Cricetulus griseus: one gene and its partners. The protein of the gene in region 1 purifies or fractionates together with the protein of each later gene. This does not show direct contact. Links are inferred from orthologs where the notes say so. Each region holds a gene or a part of one and is shown on either strand. Other genes may lie near its edges. The genes, in order: Tspyl1, Ddx24 and Zmynd8.

Region 1 (4,584 bases):
TCAGCCAGTGAGAGAGAGGCCAGACCAGTTCTCCCTAGGGTTACAGACAGTGAGGGGCAAGGCCAACTCTGTGCAGCCCAATCTCTGATTCTGGTGTCATCAGGAGCCATGGACGTCAACAGAAATTATGACTCCCAAGGAAGTGAGGGGTTTGGTGGTGCTGCACAAATTTTGTGGAAAAAAGTTGACATCTCAGTAAGCACTTGTTAACTGTCAACATTTTAACACAACAAATCAATGACAGTAGCAACTATGCTTGTATCCTGGAAGATACAGTATTGCGCTCTCTTGTCAGACCTCTGGGATAATGTTGTGTCCATTTAAGAAATTTTGTAATTCCATAATCTTGTCAATTATACAAACCTATTAAGGCACTTAATGGTCAGGGTGAAAAATAAAACATCGAAGAGAGTGCTATGCTTTTATTCACCATCTTACATATAAAGGGCAACAAATATCTTCATAGTACAGTTCTAATATGACAGAGCACTTTTACAACTATTGTGTAATTTAAGAGGCTACCAAGAATATCAAGTCACATATCTATTTTTCCATGACAACAGTAATTGGACAAACTTGATAAAGACCAAATTATCTAAACTACGTTTCTAAGAATTTAGATTAACATTGAAAATTTTCATGAATACTCATTTGTCTCAATAGTGTCAAGACTATTGTTCTTCCAAATGGTTTCAAATAAATGCAAAAGAAAGTAATTTAACTTTCCTAGTAAATAGAAACAAGTAGCATTTTACTAAATGTTGGTAAAATATGGGCACAATATTACTCTTTCAGATACATCAGGTCACATATAAAAAGAAGAAAATAACCCAAACTTGTACCATTTCTTTAAAGAACCATTATCTAGGCAACATTTAGTACTCAAAACTCCCTATAATTTTTCTGTTGCAATCCTGAGAAAGTATTTCTCTTTACATCACCATTGGACTTGAAAGCTCTTAGTCAACCTTGTCTTCATCTTCAGCCCAATTTTTATCTGACTTAATCTGGTCCTAATCCATTTCAGTTCACTTTCCCTGCTTAGGGTACCCATCACAATCTCTTTAGTTCTTCCATACATTATAAGGAAGATCTCACCTGTTTCCACCTAGCTCCATCTCTCTATTATCCTGTTAGGCCTTGTTAACCTGGCTGGGGGGTTGGGAAAAAGAGAAGAGGCAGCCAGAGTTCTGCAGCCTCTCTGGCAGAGCATCCTCTCTGGAAATGCTACCAGTCTAAATGGACTACAAATGCTGATCTTGCAGATGTTCCGGAACTACTTCTTTTTATTTAAAATAACAAGAAGGTGGAAGAGGGTGAGGAACCTTGACAAGCGCCAATGGAGCTTGGTATATGCAACAGCAAGCAGTATTAGAAGGTGGTGCAGAAAGAGTCACAAAAACCACACAGAAGGTGGCCCACTTCTGTTCTCCCGCAATATCATTAATTCCCAGCAATTGTCTGCAAACTTGATGTCCATACTGCCACATGCTCAACAGGTAAATAGAACGGGCTCCCTAGACAAAGGTGGCAGCAAATAGCTAACAGACTGAAAACAACAGGGTCCAAGCACTGTAAAAGCAGTGTGATCTTCAGGATCGCGTGTTAAGCTTAGAAAGGGTCTGAACCACGACGAGGCAGCAGACACTAATACAGAACAGCGTAGAGGTCATATGACAGCAGCAGCATGTCCACAGTCTTCATCTTGAGGGCAAGAGAGACTATTCAAACAGCAGATGCAGAAGCCACAAGGAAAGAAACACCAAGAACACTGCATACCGTTGCCTTTGCTCAAGCACAGGTGAGAAGAGGCCTGCTCCAGCTGTATTTTCAAAGGCAGAGGTTAGCCTGACTGGAAGCCAAAGGGCCTGGGAATCTCCACTGGCTCTCTTACTGGGCGACGTCTGGGTCTGCGGATTCCGTCACGTGACAGGTAGTATTGCAGTGGGTTTGGCCACAGGTCCTCTTTGATGATCTCAGCAATTCTGTCGGATTCTGGAAGGCTGTGGTCTGAAAACCAGGTGAAGAAGCTGCAGATGAGGTTCTGGTTTCTGCGAATGAAGGACTGAGGCTCATGTCCCCTCCGCCATACGATTGGAGTGGAAAGGGACACCACTCGACCGGATGATCGAACTTCATATTCCTTGACGATCAGCTTGTTTCGGAAGTAGGGGTTCCTTCGAAAGAAGAACTTGAATTTGCAGCCAGTCTTCGGGTGTCTGAGTTCCTTCACCTCTAGGTTGGTGACGTACCTTAGCATCTCTGCATCCTGACCCCTAATCATGGAGGACAGCTGCGGGTGGTTCCGGAAGGCAGTCATCCAGAAGCCTGGGATGTTCTGAATGATGTAGTTCCTCCGTTCCAGGTAGTGTCGCCGCATCCGCCCAAACTTCTGTTCCAGATGTTGGAAGGCCCTGTCGGCCTGAGCGTTCACAGTGTCCAGTTCCTGCTGGATGGCCTCCAGGGGGTTCATGCGGAGATTGATGCCCAGATGCCAGGGCCCGGCCTCCTCCTCTAGCATCTCCATGTCCTCACCCGCGGGCTGCCGCTCCTCCTCCATCGCCGCCTCCTCTCCTTCCGCCGCCACTGGACACGGCTCGTCTTCAGCGGCTACCGCGACCGCACCCTGCTCGGCCCCCACGCCGGCGGCCTCGATCTCTGCGCCCCGAGTTTCTTCCGGAGCCACCGACGCGGGACCCTCGGCGGGAGGCGGAGCCGCTCCCCGCCCGGCGGCTGTCACCCGCACCCGGGGCTCAGGCCCCACGACACCCGGGGACGCCGGGCTGGCCGCGGTCCGCGCGCGGCCCTCACCTGTCGCCCCGGGCGCCGAGCTCGCCGGGACACTGTCAGCCTCGCGCAGGCCGCGGCTGCGGGGCACAGGGGTCCCCTCGTCCCGCTGCGGGCCGTCCATGTCGGGTCCGGCCGCGTCACCCTCGAGGCACACGCGTCTCCCCTCCGAGTGAGCCCACGCAGCTCCCGCTACGCCCCTTCCCCGTCTCCGGGGCGGTGACGTCAGAGCCGCAGCCCGCGACTCTCGCGAGAGTTTGCGGCGCCCGGCTGGGCGGTCATGGTAGGCGGACGTCCTTGCAGGACTTTGCAGGCTTCTCGGCGGCCGCACGGTCCTTTACACTGCCGACTGCCCAAGGTCGGCCGACAAGTGCATCCGCTTTCCGGTTACGTGCAAAGGTAAAAATACCTCCTGGCCTCCGAAAAAGCCAGGAGCGAAAACTGCCGACCCTCTGGGCTAACCTGGGCTACCCGGGGAGCCGCGGTCGTCTCGAAACAATAGTAAAAACACAATTCACTTCTAGCCCCCGACGTTCCTGGGGGACAAGGCTCTGTGAGCTTGTGGAGGAATTGCTGTTTTCTGGAGGATGTTTGCGGTTGTAACTAATGATTGCTCTCACTGGATAAACACCACATCCATTTTACCCCCCCCCCCCGTGGAGCTGAGGCGGGCAGAAACTGAGCCGCTCACCAAATCCCATAGAGAATGGCAGATCAGAGCCCAAGAGATTGGTCTCTGGTGGTCTCTGAACAGGATGTGACCTCACTGTCACACAAAAGCATAAACGCATAGCCCATGTCAAGTTGATTCATGTGCCCCCCCCACCTCGTCCACAAACCTACTAACAATTTACACATCAACACAGAACATTCAGTTCCTTTTGAAGGAACCGGCTTCCCTTTTGGCAGCCATAACAGCCGAACATGTGCTTGGCATATACCTGCCTTGGTCACTTAGAGGTCAGATGCCTGTCTTGTGACAAGGAACCAATCAGAAGTTAGCTGGTGGCGCTATGCTTTACGACCCTGGGTGTGCTTTACGGACAAGCGCACAGCAATGACGTAGAGAGCATAGCAACCACCCTGGGAGGGCCTATGAGCCATAACAACCAGTTGACCAATCAACACAGGGCAAGCCCTCCAAGCCTGGAGGCACACCAATCATGAGCCTGTGCGTACCCCTAGACACTCCCCTTACGCTGCCCTATAAGATCTTTGGGGAGACCTTAGGAGCCGTCTTTTTCTAGCTGTCCGCCATGGCGGGTGGGTAAAAGACCCGAGCTAACATGGGGTTAGCTCGTTAAATTACAATAAAGCCTCGTGCAGTTTGCAGCAAGCTCTCGAATCCGCCTGGTGATTGGGGTGACCGCGAACCTGGCCTGAGACCCCGGATACTTGAGTTTTCGGGGGTCTAACATTTTGGGGGCTCGTCCTGGATTTGCGACCACCCTTCACCTGAGTGGATTCGATCTTGGAGGTAAGATGATTAGAGCTCGCAATTTATATATGTTCAATGTTCTATGTTTCTTGTTTTGTCTCTTGCTGTGTTGGTTTGGTGCCATGATTTGTATTTGATCTGCGCAGAATTTGTATTTGTAATTCGGACTTCTGGGGAAGACCCTGAAGTCCTGCCCTGGATGAAAGTCCGAGGGTTGCTTGATTTGATCTGCGAAGAATTTGTAATTTGTATTTGATCTGCGCAGAATTTGTAATTGAACCATAGGGTAAGCAGACTTGTGAGACCCTTGGTTCCACCCTGGATGAAAGTCCAAGGTTTGGTTGTAATTTTGGTTTGGG
Region 2 (4,603 bases), on another chromosome or scaffold:
GTGAAAAAAACATCAATGATTTAAAACTATTTCAGATAACTGAAAACACTTCACAAGTTATTGAGGCCAATGTCATTGTCAACATTAACACCAGACAATATCATTACAAAAAAAAAAACTATAGATGAATATTCTAATTTCATATTCACACTTGACCAAATCCAAGATATAACCAGCACATTGTGATCAAGTTCACTGTTTCTCAGGAATGTTTAGATTTCATTTTTGAAAAAATGAACATAATTCATTGCTATCAACAACTAAAAACAAAAACCCACATACCTAAATATGTGCAAGAAGAACATTTGGTACAAAAAAAAAAATCTAACATCCATTCTTGATTTTTAAAAACTCCTCAGTAAGAGAAAACTCTCAACCTGACTGCAAGGGGTTAAGTAGTGTTGTCATCTCCATCTGACTCACATGCTTCACAGAGATAAAGCAAGGATACCAAAGTCAGGCAGGGTTAGACTGCAACCCAGAGCTGGATGCTTTCTCAACACCATCACCATTCAACACGGTTTTTGTGGCCCTGTGCTCAACACTCCCCTCCTCCAGTTTTCCAGCCTATGAGGCAACCAAAGACTGGATGCAAAAGCTCTCCTGCCTGGGACAGACAGGACAGCCCTTACCTGTCTCAGCAGCTCCTAGGATGTCCAGTTTGTCACGGATGGCTGGGGGCAAGGTCAGAGCTTGGATTGGGGTGGGTGCAGAGAAGCCCAGAAAGCTGAGTGCTCGGAGAACCGCCTTGGGCACAAACAGGTCCCTCCATGCTGACACATCTGCCTTCTGGTCCTGCACTTCAGGCATCCATGTCTTTGCTTTTTTGGGCACTTTAGAGACAGTGCTCTGGGAAGGGCTTAATTTTTTTTTCCCTTTGTTTTTCTTCTTTTTTGGAACAGCCTGTGCCAGGTTTTCCGATGCTGCTTCTCCTACCTGTCTATCAGAACAAGCAGTGACATATGCCTGAGTCTCTGGCTCAGAATCTTTGACTTCATCCTGGGCTGTACTTCCTTCAGCAGCCACTAGCGCATCTTTCTGTTTCTTCAATTTGATCTTTTTTTGGGGGGAGCTAGACTCTCCCTCCTCCTCTCCCTCCTCCTCCTCTTCTGAAACAGCTTGGGCCTTTCTCTTCTTTGGCTCCTCATTTGAGAAGAAACCAGAGGGATTCTCAGCAGCAGAGACTAAACGGTAATCTGTGAGTTCCTCAAAGCACACCAAGCCATCCATCTGTGCATCCGCAAACAGATTTGGATCGATCTTCACCTGCTTCCATTTCCCCACGACTTTGAAGCCCCTTGTCTGAAATGTGCCACGGCTCGGTGGCTTTGGCCTTGATTTTGTCTCCTTTAACTTCATGGTTGCTGAAAAGAGACGTTCTTTTACGTTAGTGTCTGTCAAGCATAGGTTCTATGGCAACACCCTCATCCCAAAGAACCTAAAATGCATTTGACCCTGCAAATGACAGAAGACCTGAAAATGGTTTAACACACAGAAGATGCTCCCAGCCAGAAAATGAAACACAAACACCCACAGAATAGGTTAGTTCGCCTTGGAGCAGAGGGAACACAGGCAATGAAGTAAAGATCCATGAGCTAACACGTGTCAGGATCCCAGCTCCAACACTAAATACAACTTCAACAATACTACTTACTTGTCTCAGAATTTAGTGTCTTAATCCTCTAAAAGGAGAGGGGCATGATAATACCTGCTTTTATGCTGTACACAAATAATTGAAAGTATCAAGAGAGGTGCCAGAGGGAAGCCTACCCTACATGAGCCATTTCTGAGATGGAGTAAGAACCTGAGATGCTTTTTTCAGTTCTGTGTTAGGGGATGGAGTGTTCTTTACTACAACTGCACTGAGCTCTCTTCCCTGTTAGAAAAGGCAATGCCATCTCCACTCCAACACAGCTGTCTAGTTACACTTTAAGTGATCTAGAGCTAGCGGGAGATGCAGCTCAGTTTGTTACCCTAGAGTGAATGAAGACCTGGGTTCCACGCCCAGCACTGCTTAAAAACCATGCTTAGTGGGTAGCCAGCATTCGGGAAAAGGAGATAGGAAGATCAGGAGTTCAAAGCCAGCCTCGGCTACATGAGACCCTTGTCTTTAAAGGGGGTCGGATTATGCATGACTTATTTGAGTGGCAGTGGCTCCACACCGTCCTCTCTACATGAAAGAATAGACACTGTGGAAAGCACAAGGTAAAATTATACAATTATATTCTCGATTAACATCTAGAGCCAACACTTGCCACCTCTGAGGCTCAGTTTCCCCGACTACAACGTTAGGACAATGAGATATTTATCCCACTGGGTCCTCGCTTGAATACGACATGATGACGCATGTCAAAACCCGCTTAGCATGGCGCCCGTGTAGAGAGGCACGCTGACTCGCAGGCAAGGCTCCCCCAGCCGTCCCGGGCACCGACCACACCACGGCCCCACCGCACCGACAAGCCGAAGGGGCTGTCACTGAAAATGGGACGCGGGAGAGGCCCTGCGCCGCTTGCAAGACTCCCTCGGACACAACGACCGCACGAGCCCTTCAAGGGAGGTGACTGGGCCCTGACGCCTGCCTGCGGGCCCTCAGGCGTGGGGAAGCCAGGAACCAGGGCAGTGGGGTCACCCGTGACACGCGATGCTGCGGGAGCACCGGGAGCGCGTCCGCAAAAGGCCACGGCATCGCTCCGCACCGCACTCGCCGAGAGTACTCACCGCCAGCGATCTCTCACACACTCGGCGACGCCTGCGACACCCCGACCCGGAACTGCAGCAGCCTGCATCTGCAGTTCCGGGGCGGGACTTCAGGCACGCGTGCGCGCCACAGAAGGAAGTACCGCCTCCATAGCTGTCTGATTGGCATTGTTTCAGGACGTGGGCGGGAGCGGAAAAGGCCTGGGGTTGGCTCTGGGTCTCTTCCTGTTTATCACGTAGGCTGCTTCTTGGAGCTCGTTCCTGGACGCTAGGGAGCGCGAGTGTTCGCGTCATCTTGATCTAGTTTGGGTGCGGGAGCCCTTGCAAGGTATTGAGTACCTACTGTTAGCTTTGATGCCTTTTCTTGCCTGATTCACAGCACAACCACGCCTGCACTGAAAGTGCTGTGTTCTCCCAGTTCCCTTGAGCGCAAGGCTGGTGAAGACGGAGCGGCCAGTCCCGAACGCAAGTTTTAGAGCCCGATACGAAGACTTTAACGTTAATGAAAAATAATGAAAAAGATTCCCTAAGGTTACGGCGATGCCTAACCCTCTATAAACCATGAGTTGTTTCTGTTCTAGTCTGCATGTTTTTAAGCATCAACAACTAAAGTTGTTCCTACATCTCTGGGTGCTGAGGGAGTCTCACTGGAGAGGGTGGAAGTTCTCAGCCTCAACACTAAAGCAGTCCCCACAGTGTACATTGTGACATTTTCCAAAAGCTATTGAACCTGGGAAGGGCAGCATTCTAAAAGCCTGTCCTCCAACAGGTTTTTTTTGTTTGTTTGTTTGGTTGGCTTTTTTTTTTTTTTTTTTTTTTTTTGGTTTTTTGTTTTTTCGAGACAGGGTTTCTCTGTGGCTTTGGAGGCTGTCCTGGAACTAGTTCTTGTAGACCAGGCTGGTCTCGAACTCAAAGAGATCCGCCTGCCTCTGCCTCCCGAGTGCTGGGATTAAAGGCGTGCACCACCCGGCCTCCAACAGGTTTTATAGGTATTAGATCTCATACCCAGGACAAAAGGCTGTCCTATCACAGCAGACCGGGCAGCCAGGCTCGCCCAGCCTCTCTCAGTCCCCATCCATTAACGGGTATAACTAGCATACTCCACCCTCTACCATGAACTCTCCAGCCCAAGGGCTGGGCTGCCCTTCCCCCACAGGCTCTAACCTGTATAATCCAGACATTTTAGTTACCTACCATTTTGTACCTTTGACCTCCTGGCTGGTGCACCTAGTTCCTCTCTCCCTTTCCTGCCCTCTTCCCACAGGGACCAGCTCAGCCTGGTCATGTCCACTCTGGACTCTCCCAGATATCCATACCTCTGACTATGCTGTCACACATATCTGCAATAAACTTTCTCCTCCAGCGTGCCTAGGGGCAGTCGTGTCTTTTCCTTCCATTTTTATGCCTTACTTTTTCATTTACCCACCACTTTAATATTTTTGTATTAGAAAAACACATTTGTCGCCATGCATCTCTGTCTTTAACACAGCACTAGAGAGACAAAGGCAGGTAGAGTCCTGAATTTGAAGCCAGCATGGTATGGCGAGGGGGGAGGGAAGTAGGGAGGAAGAGAGAGAGAGAGAGAGAGAGAGAGAGAGAGAGAGAGAGAGAGAGAGAGAGAGAGAGAGAGAGAGAGTTAAGCATCAGTCAGGACAGAAAACAATCTAAGGGACACCATCTATTCAGAGGTTAAGTTTGGTGAGTACAGCTGGGTAGCTTCTTCTATTACTTTCAAAACTCCACCAGGGGGCTGACTACTGACTCATTGCAAGGGGCAGGCCATGTGCTGATTGGTTCACTAGCAAGCGTCTTTCCTGGCTACCTCAGATTTACATCATTTCCTAAGCTTACCATCTACATCTCACTATGTTGGGTTAGTAACCCTCACCCACCATGGGCTGGGAAC
Region 3 (3,814 bases), on another chromosome or scaffold:
GGGAGTTTCCTTCAGACATCAAAACCAGGAATAGCTCTGCAAGAATGCTTTTGATTTTCTGAAAAAAAAATCTGATCTCTGTTAAGGAACCATGCTTCTCTTTTTGCTTTCCCTGCTAAGAAGCTCACAACTGCAATGGAAACTCTTGTCTGTGATTGCCCCGAAGTTGGGACAGTCTGGGTTTTCTTTGGTCTGTTCTGTTTGAGACAGGGTCTGAAGAAGCCGAGGCTGACCTTGAGCTCCTTATTCACTGGTCTCTACCTCCAAGTGCATTATCATGCCTACCTTAGTATTTATTTGTATATAAAACATTTCCCCAAAGCCAGAGCAAACAGTAAGTCAATCAAGATGTGTTTGGGGGCTGGCAAGGTGACTCAGTGGGTAAAGAAAGTTGCCACCATGAATAATGACATGAGTTATCCTTCGGCCCACACACACACACACACACACACACACAAGCACAAAAAGCCTCTATCAGAAAGAATGGGAGATTCTAAGCATCACAGGAGTGTGAGCCTCACACGGAGGAAGTTACAGGTGTGTGCACTTCTCTACCTCCATTCTACCCCAGGCGGCACTCTGATGCCTTCAACTGGCCTAAGCGGCAGCTTGAACATCCCCTGCCCTCTCCACCTCACCCCCTCCCCAGCACAGGTATCTCATTTCTTCTTCCTTGGTCACAGAAATCTGTCTCGATTAAGAGCTGAGGTTCCAGACTCCTCAGGTGGGCACCCCACAGGGAAAAGGCTCTCAGGGCACAGCAAAGACTTGCCTTAGGCCACCAGGCTACAAGAATGTGGGGGACATGGTCATACCTTACTCCTGGGTTACGATGAGAAGTTGGCTCCTGTTAGAAACTAAGCACAGTGCAAAATGACACCCCTCTGTACCTCACCAAGTACACCCAGCTTGAAGGCTACCCTGTACCATGTACTTAAGTCATTCCAGGGCCCTAGCTGAATGACGTTGGAGTCCTCTGGCCAGCCAAAAACTTGCTGTTACTCAACTCCTTCTGGGGAAGTCGCCAGCATGCCCACTGCCGACGGTGCTGGCCCAGACTGCTCATCACAATAGCAACAAGCCTGAAAAGATTCAGGTGATCCTCAGGGCGGAAGGCTTTGCCTAAAAGGGACAGGCATGTTTGATAGGCAAGTGCTCCTGCCATCTAGTGGCTAAAGGCCAGAGTTGCACCTAGACCACTTTCACTGAAAGGGACAAAGAATTGGTTCAGGTACATTCAATGCACATAGGACAGACTATCTTGCCCAGAGGGTGCTGACCAAGGTCTCTTCCATTTTCAATGCCCCACAACCCCTAATGGATTCTACTTCTAGTAGGAAAATATATCTGCCCGTGCAGGGCACAAGAGAAGGGGAAGCTTCCTCTAGATCTTTCTACTCAGAGAGCCCTTGATCCCTGAGCCCCACCCAAATGTCTGAATATTAAAAAGGAAGTTTACTGGAGGGGGCATGTAGCTCAGTTGTGTGTGTGTGTATGTATATAGTGGTCTGTCACAAGGGAGGTAGAGGTGGGAGAATCCAAAGCCATCCTTGGCTATATAATTCCAGGTCCAATTCAACCACGTAAAACCTTAAGCAGGCAGACCTAAGGCCAAAATCAACTTTATAAGAAGCAGCTACCAGTGACCGTGGAACTTTTCTGTGCTGAGGATCAAGCAGGCCCATGTGCAGGCCATGGCTCCCACTGTAGAAGCTGGGGGCCGAGACACTCCCTGTCACACTGGGCTTGGCAATCGCACAAATACCAGGTGTAATAGCTCAGTGGTAGAGCACAAGGTCCTGAGTCTGATCAACACCAAACAAAATTTACAGTCTACAGGCTGTGTGTGTAGCTTACCGTCCTGCTTAGGTGAGGGCACCTTGGGCTCCTTCTTGTTTTTGCGACCCTCCCGCCCAGAAGGATCTTCTCCTAAATCTATGACAAGTTCACTCTCTGAATCGGAGTCCAAGCCCAAATGCACTGTGGGGGAATCCGTGTCATCTTTTCCCTTCAGTTTGTCCTTTGTGGGGTGAGGAGATGGCTTTGCTTTCTCTACTGAGTCCTTCTCAGGCTCCGGGCTTGCCTTGTCCTTGGCGGGTGTAGGGTCTGCCTTCTCACTGGCTGGAGAGTTACTTTTCACTTCCTCTTTGACTTCTACCGGGTTTGCAGGTTTTGGCTTTTTTTTTATACCGGGGGCCTCTTTGTCCACCCGACTCCCCTCTTTGTCTTCAGGTTCCTCTGGCTCATTCTTGGGCTTTTGTTCCTCATCGCTGACATACTCACTGTCGCTGCTTTCTGACTTTTCGGAATCCTCCGAATCACTGTGCTCCACGGCTGTGTAAACATCTTCTGAGATCTCATTTATGCCTAAGGACAAAAAGAAACCAGCACAGCTTAGCTATGCAAGAAAGACAGGAGGGATACACACTCCCACCCTTCAAGTGGCATCCCCATCTTAATGGGGACAGCTAGAAAGGGGGCATGGGGGTACAATCAAGATCCAAGAAAAGCAGGGACAGGACAGACCTACGGACTGCCAGGTTTATGTCAAGTCTGCAGCACTGACTGATGAGGAGATGGGGGAGCCATTAAAATAAGGGCCCAGAGAAGCCCTTGTCTACGCACAAATTAAATCTACTGGGTACCAAACAAGAAGCCTAGGCTCCTGACCCAGCACTCCACCCAAGTGTGAACAGGCAGGCTTCTGCCTGTGTCTAGGGCTCCAGAAGGCCAGAGCCTTAGCATGGCAGCCACTGCTCGGCCCATGTATATCTTCCCTTATACTTAACCATCTGGGCAGCACTGGCTTACCTGTATGCATTGTCTTTTTGTTTTGTTTTAATTAGAATTCTCTACCCAAGTCACAACCAAAAAATTTCTCATAGGCCTCAAGGTAGTGGCTCTGTGCACACAGCATGGGAACCACCCTCTGTGGGATCTGCGAGCAGCAAGCAGCAGACAGGCAAGGGTGGAATCTGCTGCACCCCTTAAGTGGAGGCAGGTGTCCAGATAACCTGGAGCCCAGCCTTCTAGCTGGCCCCCTGTGCGCCTGCAGAGCCTCAGGTGCTCATGTGAATGCATTGTCCTTCCGCTGCCAAGGGGCAAGAGAAAACTACACCTGTCTATGCTCATCAAAGGAGACAGAATAGCAGGTGTCACACACACACACAAGGTACATGTATGCTTCCAGCTCAGGCAGTAGGCAAATAAGAACAAATAAACCCAAAAGAATGAAAACCATGTCAATTCTTCATACTGCCTTCACTCCAGTGCAATGGCCTGGACACATCAAAGAAAAACTCAGGAAGGGCAAGAGCCATGAAGAGCCAAGACACAGGCAGTTGGTCAGCAAAGTTGCTGGGGAACAGTATTGGACTCCCCAGGGTCCAACAACCATGAAAACATGAGGTCTGAAACGAAGGTGCAGTCAGAGGCGTGTATTAGCGGTAGGCAAGCATTCAGCACAGGGCACAGGAACTGTTATCTGTGGGACCTTGGGAAAATGACCCACTCTTTTTTTTTTTTTTTTTTTTTTCGAGACAGGGTTTCTCTGTGTAGCTTTGGAGCCTATCCTGGCACTCATTCTGGAGACCAGGCTGGCCTCGAACTCACAGAGATCCGCCTGCCTCTGCCTCCCGAGTGCTGGGATTAAAGGCGTGCACCACCAACGCCCGGCTTAAATCACCCACTCTTAAGCCTCAGAGTTTTCGTCTGTTAAAATGGAGCAGGGGATGATTATACTCCCAGAACAATCCAGACACAGGGCTCAGCAGGGCATAGTGGGTCCAGGAGGGGGCTGGTAAAATGAAATAGG

Evidence for each region.
Region 2: the proteins of Tspyl1 (region 1) and Ddx24 purify together in Homo sapiens (affinity purification with mass spectrometry; 3 studies listed by BioGRID and IntAct, counting the BioPlex papers as one, with this or other methods). This does not show direct contact. The link is inferred for Cricetulus griseus from reciprocal best matches to the Homo sapiens genes TSPYL1 and DDX24.
Region 3: the proteins of Tspyl1 (region 1) and Zmynd8 purify together in Homo sapiens (affinity purification with mass spectrometry; 4 studies listed by BioGRID and IntAct, counting the BioPlex papers as one, with this or other methods). This does not show direct contact. The link is inferred for Cricetulus griseus from reciprocal best matches to the Homo sapiens genes TSPYL1 and ZMYND8.

The regions. Positions count from the first base shown.
Region 1 is NC_048595.1:257,678,412-257,682,995, reverse strand, and holds Tspyl1 (testis-specific Y-encoded-like protein 1), read right to left. Parts: upstream 3,017-4,584; 5' UTR 2,912-3,016; coding exon 1,844-2,911; 3' UTR 408-1,843; downstream 1-407.
Region 2 is NC_048598.1:102,656,689-102,661,291, reverse strand, and holds the start of Ddx24 (ATP-dependent RNA helicase DDX24), read right to left. Parts: upstream 2,831-4,603; 5' UTR 2,719-2,830; intron 1,365-2,718; 5' UTR 1,360-1,364; coding exon 633-1,359; intron 1-632. UniProt on the Homo sapiens protein: ATP-dependent RNA helicase that plays a role in various aspects of RNA metabolism including pre-mRNA splicing and is thereby involved in different biological processes such as cell cycle regulation or innate immunity.
Region 3 is NC_048599.1:13,606,998-13,610,811, reverse strand, and holds part of Zmynd8 (protein kinase C-binding protein 1), read right to left. Parts: intron 2,368-3,814; coding exon 1,858-2,367; intron 1-1,857. UniProt on the Homo sapiens protein: Chromatin reader that recognizes dual histone modifications such as histone H3.1 dimethylated at 'Lys-36' and histone H4 acetylated at 'Lys-16' (H3.1K36me2-H4K16ac) and histone H3 methylated at 'Lys-4' and histone H4 acetylated at 'Lys-14' (H3K4me1-H3K14ac).